2 linked regions of the Bombyx mori genome follow. The protein of the gene in region 1 interacts with the protein of each later gene in a pairwise test. Links are inferred from orthologs where the notes say so. Each region holds a gene or a part of one and is shown on either strand. Other genes may lie near its edges.

The links.
Region 2: the proteins of RCC1-like G exchanging factor-like protein (region 1) and nucleoside diphosphate kinase 6 interact in binary tests that used the Homo sapiens proteins (3 or more experiments, as listed by UniProt). The link is inferred for Bombyx mori from reciprocal best matches to the Homo sapiens genes RCC1L and NME6.

Annotation. Positions count from the first base shown.
Region 1 is NC_085111.1:18,487,839-18,491,777, forward strand, and holds the start of RCC1-like G exchanging factor-like protein, read right to left. Parts: upstream 2,462-3,939; 5' UTR 2,341-2,461; coding exon 2,205-2,340; intron 1,530-2,204; coding exon 1,354-1,529; intron 487-1,353; coding exon 295-486; intron 135-294; coding exon 1-134. UniProt on the Homo sapiens protein: Guanine nucleotide exchange factor (GEF) for mitochondrial dynamin-related GTPase OPA1. Activates OPA1, by exchanging bound GDP for free GTP, and drives OPA1 and MFN1-dependent mitochondrial fusion. Plays an essential role in mitochondrial ribosome biogenesis.
Region 2 is NC_085109.1:1,111,948-1,115,669, forward strand, and holds nucleoside diphosphate kinase 6, read right to left. Parts: upstream 2,496-3,722; 5' UTR 2,370-2,495; coding exon 2,161-2,369; intron 1,622-2,160; coding exon 1,461-1,621; intron 1,102-1,460; coding exon 956-1,101; 3' UTR 593-955; downstream 1-592. Other genes in the region: uncharacterized protein LOC101739724, read left to right, coding at 1-123. UniProt on the Homo sapiens protein: Major role in the synthesis of nucleoside triphosphates other than ATP. The ATP gamma phosphate is transferred to the NDP beta phosphate via a ping-pong mechanism, using a phosphorylated active-site intermediate. Inhibitor of p53-induced apoptosis.

The sequences.
Region 1 (3,939 bases):
ATACTACCTTTATACTCTTCATTGACATTTACTTTCCTACCGCACTGACCATATGCATTGTTACCTAATGTATAGACACCTTCTTTGTCGGTCAGGATTATTGTGTGAGCACGTCCCGCTGCCACTGCTTTAATCTGCGAATCGGTAAAAAGTATCAAAACATTTCTGATCTTACTTCTATTTAATATCCTTTAACATTTCCTTCTGAATACTTATTATTTTTATTACTACAAAATTGTTGTTTGAGTCACTATGGATACCACTAAATCTTCGGCAAATAAAACTATTACTAACCTCACACTCCAAGCTCTTGTAAGGTATATAAATAGGTGCATAGCTAAGCAGAAGTTCCAAAGGATGATTTCGTCGTGGTGAATGGTATCCAATTTGGGAATCTGTATTGATACCGGTACCGAAAACTTTGTGCTGCTCTGAAGTTTTTATTGAGGCTACTGTGAAACCGTAGCCACAGGCTATGTTTGTTATCTGAAAATTCAGTTTTTCATTATTCAGCTAATGTTATACATGATATAAGAATATAAAATAAAAATCTAATGTAATAGATTGAATTTTATTAGCGTGCACAGCGTATACTTAAAATCTACTAAATTAGACTTAGCATTAATACTATTGTCTAGTGATTTTTGCAAGTAACCAGATCTGAGTTACTACGTAAATTATATATTGTTCAGGTTATAGGCCTGATATACTACTGGAAACTTGACAGATCCTTCACTTTCATTGAATGCTTCCATTAGAGGTAGTTTAAGTTGCTGGACAGGGACAGAGGATGCAATGTTAAGCATATGTCGTGGTAAGAATTGTATATGATTACACTAATTGTATATTTAGCACTAGTATCTATCTGCTATATAACAGCCAGAATTTTCAAAGGCCTATTCCTACACAATAATAAACATAACAAATTATTTCTGCTGTGAAGCAGTAATGTGTTTCAATTCGAAGGTAAGGCAGCCACATTACTTTAAAAACAGAGACATTAAAATTCATATCTCAAGGTGGATGGCAGCATTTACATTGTTGATGTCTGTGGGTTTCGTTAACCACTTAACACCTGGTGGGCTGTGAGCTTGTCCACCTATTTAAGCAATGAAAAAAGTTAAAGACATTCTGAAGTTTAAATATATGTGTAGTATTTAAAGTGTTTCTAACTTTACAGTTGTCATGAGCAACTGACTACAATAACCAAAGTATTCAATAACTCAGAAATAATATAACGACAAAAACCCTTAATTAAATGGTGAAAATGTAGTTTTAATTATCTCAACTTTTTAGAAATTGTTTATTTTTCTTTTAAACAAGTATTGGTAAATTAAAGTTAAAAGTCCTTACATCAAATCTCTCTGCAAAAGAAGACCTCATTGGATGCCAAACCAATTTGAAGTTGTTTTTGTAACTTTTTTTCCCTTTCTTGCCACGTGGGAGGTGGATACCCAGAGCACCTGTCTCAGCAAATCCCCACACATAGACTCGTCTGTCTGTACTTTTGCTTATTGGATACTGGAATACTGTGGGACACACAACACAGTTTAAAGTCGATTTACTGTCTCAGCAGGAACTTACATGTTGTTTAATTAAATTCAGAATGAAAGTAACCTCCAATCCTATAGGATTATATTACTGTAGTAATAGGAATCATTCTTCATTTAGTAAGTTAAATATTTGTTGTTTTAATAAATTCATCCATTATTCAACTTCCTATCCCTTTTTCTTCAAAACTGTAAAGCGTAGATTATGACATAGAGAAATACATAGTATGTACTTCATTTCATAGTAAAAACTCTGATCTATTTTGCCTAAGCTTTATCTCAAAATGAAAAGTCACTTCTATATTGGTATCTGTTTATAGGCCCCAGTAGTATTGTTACTTCGGCATCATGTAAACATTTAATAATTTGTGCCAACTGCCCTAATATGTTCTATAACCTAACTAAATAGTGAGAAGTTTCTTATAATGTTATCTTTGATAATTTAATTTATTTATTAAAATTAATGTTCTATTTATATTGAGAATTAAAAACTTGAAAAAAAAAGTTTTTTTGATTAATACAAAAGGACTGTAAGAAGTCTAGAATGCAGAGTTAATTCATTTTTATTTATTATGCCTGATCCTGTTATATTAATTAAAGATGATTATGAAACTGATATTATAAAAAGTATGTATTGATTGTGTATTTATTTACTTGGTAAAAGCTCCTCTTCACTTGGGTCATGAACTTTCTTCTTAGTCGTAATGGAAACTCGATTCAACAAGAAAACAGGACTTCGCCGGTGTATTAAAAATTTAGCTGCATACATATTAATTAAATTTCCAAGCATACCACAATCAAAAAACAAATTGTATCTATAATAATCAAGTGTATTTAACGCGAAGCACTTTTTTATTTCAGGTTATATTTTGTCGACTTTTGTTTTGATGAGGGATTATGACCTGGTAACTAAGACCTTTAGGTCGTCTTATTTTAATTCATGTTCTTATTTTTATGAAAAATGATAAGTGGAGTAAAATGAAATGAAGATGATTCATTTGAGACAATAATCAAGTGGGGTGAAATGAAATGAAATGAGATGAGATGATATGAAATGAAATATAATCTCAGTAAACTAGTGGTCATTTACTGAGATTTTTTTAGTGGACGCTTTGGAGGATCCCGAGGAGTTACGTTCAGCGGCTTTGTTTTATTTTCACACATTTGTGCACTTTCACAGATATTAAACAGTTAATAAACCACCGCTATTACACATTTAAACCTGAAGAAACGCTAAATTGACAAAATAAAACAAATCACACAACTTGACTCCTCGCGTTCCCGCCGAAAAGTCGACTTTTATTATGGGATTTTATGGCCTGGTAACTAAGACCTTTAAGTCAAGTCTTATTTTTATTTTAATGAAAACTTTTTTATATGAAAAATGATATTATGAAATGAAATGACGTTGATTAATATGAAGCATGGCATGTAATGAAATGAATGAGAAAAATATGATATTGGATGAAATATAATCTCAATAGAATAGTGGTCGTTTACTGAGATTTTCAGTGGACTTTTTGGAGGATCACGAGAACCTACATTCAGCGGCTTTAATTAATTTTCTCACATTGTTCACTTTCGCAGATACTAAACATTCAATAAAGCACCGTTATTACACATTTAAATCCGAACAAACATTAAATAGACAAAATAAACTAATCACACAACTTCACTCCTCGTGTTTCCGCCAAAAAGTCGACTTTTATTTTTGAACCCAGACCATAAATAATGTACGTAATATTTATCAGACAAACCAAAACAGACAGCTCTTACAACCCGAACTTATAATCACATATTGTTTTTTTTATTTATTGCTTAGATGGGTGTACGAGCTCACAGCCCACCTGGTGTTAAGTAGTTATTGGAGCCCATAAACATCTACGACGTAAATGCGCCACCCACTTTGAGATATAAGTTCTAAGGTCTCAGGTATAGTTACAACGGCTACCCCACCCTTCAAACCGAAACGCATTACTGCTTCACGGCAGAGATAGGCGGGGTGGTGGTACCTACCCGCGCGGACTCACAGAGGTCCTACCACCAGTAATTACGCAAATTAAAATTTGCGGGTTTGATTTTTATTACACGATGTTATTCCTTCACCGTGGAAGCTAATCGAGAACATGTGTTGAGTACGTATTTCATTAGAAAAATTGGTACCCGCCTGGGATTCGAACACCGGTGCATCGCTCAATACGAATGCACCGGACGTCTTATCCTTTAGGCCACGACGACTGATATAATAGTTTTTGTATAGTGCTCACAATGCTCTAGCAACCTATTGTCTCCCATTTTCTTCCATTTCACACAATCGTGAACTTATTCGAATACTAAATAGGTTACGTGGCTACATGTGTTAGCCCACACTTAAATTTGGTTAAAACTT
Region 2 (3,722 bases), on another chromosome or scaffold:
GTCAAGACTGACACTCTCAAGATGCGCAACAAAAAGATGGAATTAGAGAAACAACTGGCAAAATTAGAAGAGGGTATAAAAGTTTTTTCACGACCAAAAGTTTTTGTCAAAATTGGTGAATAATACGACAGGGTTGTTGTTGATCTCCTAAGAAGCGTTTGGAATTAAATAAAATCTTAGTTTGTGAACACAAACAATATTTTGAATAACTAATATAAAAAATTATATTAATCAAGAAGATTCAAACTAATTCTTTTAGTGTTCATTATTCTGATTAATAAATGTCACTATAATTTCAAAATGTCTTAAAATTTGTTGAAATTTAATGTTTTCAAATAGTCATTTTCACATGGGTATTTTAGAATAAATTAACTGTTTTTTCGAACAAGTTATCCGTCCATAAATTGTATGTAAAAAAATACTTAATTGATCTCAATCTGTAAGTTAATTTCCTTTATAATGTTAGTCTCACAATAATTGTTAGTTACTTGTTGTATTTTTGAAAATATATATGAAACCTCTTTGTATTTGATTTTTTTTTGTATAAAATATACCTTATAAGAATTTTTCTAATTATGAAATGAAAATACCATTTTAACATAACAAATAACATTTATAATTAAACAATTTGGTATAAATAACAAACAACTATTTAAATTATGACACAATAGATTATGAGCACAAAAAAGTAGTTAAGAAATCACAAAAATAATTGTTTTTTTTATTTCAATTTCCTTTCTAAACAAAGTAGTACCTACTTTAGTTGCAAATTTGCTGGAATATGTCCGATTAAACAATAGCTGGAACTGTCAAGCGGTGTTGAATTAACATAAAAAATGTTTATTGTATATTCTGTCTACTAAAGAATTATTATTATTAAGTTATGTCAACTTAATGTGAATATAATAATTTTGTGTAAATTCTATTCAATTGCAATAAGATAACTGTTTTATCACTATAATCTTCTAACATGTTGAAACAAGTGGCTGTTGAATATTATTGGTCCTTTCCTGTAGCAGGGTTCATCATCATTATACCACTGATACATGGAGAAATCTGGGAAAAAGAATTTGATCTCCTTTTCTGCTGATTGAGGGGAATCTGAAAGGAAAAAGAATAATTCCACACCATCCCCATATTTTACTATCAGTAACCAGATATTTGGCCATTTGAAATTAAAAAATACAAACCAGTTTAAAATGAATAATTGGTTTTTCATAAATTTTATAATTTTAATAATATACTAAGAGAGCAAAATCATTGAGGAATTGTAAGGTTGTATGTCAAAAGCTGTTATTACCAGTTTAAAGGGAGTACATTGTACCCTGTATATACATTTATCATATACCCAGTATATATAGGTTTTTTTTTTTTATTGCTTAGATGTGTGGACGAGCTCGCAGCCCACCTGGTGTTAAGTGGTTACTGGTTATAATTCTTATCAATATATTTATTTATACCTGAACCATGTGCAACATTCCTTGTATCTGAAATACCAAACAGCCCCCTGAGACAGTACGGGTCTTGGAACTGTGCTTTGTATACACTTGTGGGACCTAGCATTTTTCTCCACATCTGTATTGCTCTCATGTGTCCAAGGATATGCAAATCTATGCAGCCACTGTAATAATTGCTTTATTTGTGTTCAACAGTCACTATCTACTCAATCATAAAAAAGTTTTTTATTTTTTATTTCTTAGTTGGATGGTCGAGCTCCCACCTGGTGTTAAGTGGTTACTGGAGCCCATAGACATCTACAACGTAAATGCGTCACCCACCTTGAGGTATAAGTTCGAAGGTCTCAAGTATAGTTACAACGGCTGCCCCACCCTTCAAACCGAAACGCATTACTGCTTCATTGCAGAAACAGGCAGGGTAGTGGTACCTACCCGTGCGGACTCACAAGAGGTCCTACCACCATTAATGTAATAAAGTAATATTCTCGAAAGATTAAATGTAACATAAGTAACTTGGTTGAACTTCCTTCATCATCAGCCAAAAAATGCACATAGAACTCCTGCAAAGTGACTCTTCCTTACTTCAACTATGAACAATGAATCTAATAGAGATATACTAGAACCTAAATATTCCCAGGAAATTTAAAATTACACGTACATGTAACTATAATTCATGATAGGTTATTACGTATTATTTAATTACCTGGCCATAAATGTGACTAGACGGTTGTAAAAGAACTTCCCTACATGCTCTCTATAAAACTTTGCTGCAGTGTCTTCATCCAACAATATTCTTTTAGTTTTTATAACAACGAATTTGCTCTTTACAGCTTGTCGGATGTATGATAATGCTATAGGATTCTTAACGGCGTGGGGTTTTACTATCGCTAATGTTAGCTGAAGCTTTTGCATTGTGAAAAACAACTTATTTTATTCATATTATGTATTGAATGAAATATTTATTTAAATGTTTAGACACACAGCACGGAAGTAGTGGTAGTTCCGTTTTTCTAATTGGAATTTGGAAAAGCGAAAGTATCAAACCATAGAGCCTTTTATTGATTATGATTAAGGCCGAACAAAATCAAAATTAAATCCATGAAATCATTATTTCACAATAGGTATATAATCAATTAATAGTAGTATTCTTTTAAAGTGTTCCAATAGAAGATGAAACGTAGTCGAAAGTTTTAGAACGTATTGTAGTTTGACAAAAGTTCGTCGTTTTATTCGTTTTAAGTATGCGTATGCTGTAGTCGTCGTGGCTTAACGTATAAGACGTCCGGTGCATTCGTGTTGAGCGATACACCGGTGTTCGGATCCCGCAGGCGGGTACCAATTTTTCAAATGAAATAAGTACTCAACAAATGTTCACGATTGACTTACACGGTGAAGGAATAACATCGTGTAATAAAAATGAAACCCGCAAAATTATAATTGTAATTACTGGTGGTAGGACCTCTTGTGAGTCCGCGCGGGTGGGTACCACCGCCCTGCCTATTTCTGTCGTGAAGCAGTAATGCGTTTCGGTTTGAAGGGTGGGGCAGCCGTCGTTACTATACTTGAGACCTTAGAACTTGTATCTCAAGGTGGGTGGCGCATTTACGTTGTGGATGTCTATGGGCTCCGGTAACCACTTAACATCAGGTGGGCTGTGAGCTCGTCCACCAATCTAAGCAATAAAAAAAAAAAAATGCGTTCTCGTCTCTTTTAAAAGTTCATTACACAAACAAAGCGATCGGGGCTACACGTGAAAAAATTGTAACTTAAACAAATGATTTATAGCCGTCGTGACCTAAAGGATATGACGTTTGGTGCATTCGTATGTAGCGATGTAACGATGTTCGAATTGCGCAGGCAAGTGCCAATTTTTCTAATGAAATACGTACATATCAACTAAACTGACTTCCACGGTAAAGGAATAACATCGTGTAGTAAGAACAAAGCCCGCAAAATTATAATTTGCATAATTACTGATGGTAGGACGTCTTGTGAGTTTGCACGGATAGGTAGCACCACCCTGCCTATTTCTGCCATAAAGCAGTAATACGTTTCATTTCGAAGGCTGGGACAACCATTGAATTTTTGAGGAGGCAGTCTCCTCCCGGTGATGGTCACGGGGCCTCCCCCGGGCCAACTCCCTCACCTGAGGGGGTTGAGGCTGCGCCGCACGCTACCTACCATCACTCTAGCGCGCTGGCACAAGGAGGACGGGACAACACGTCAGCGACTACGGCCTGCAATGCGGTCCGCATTGTCGTCGTC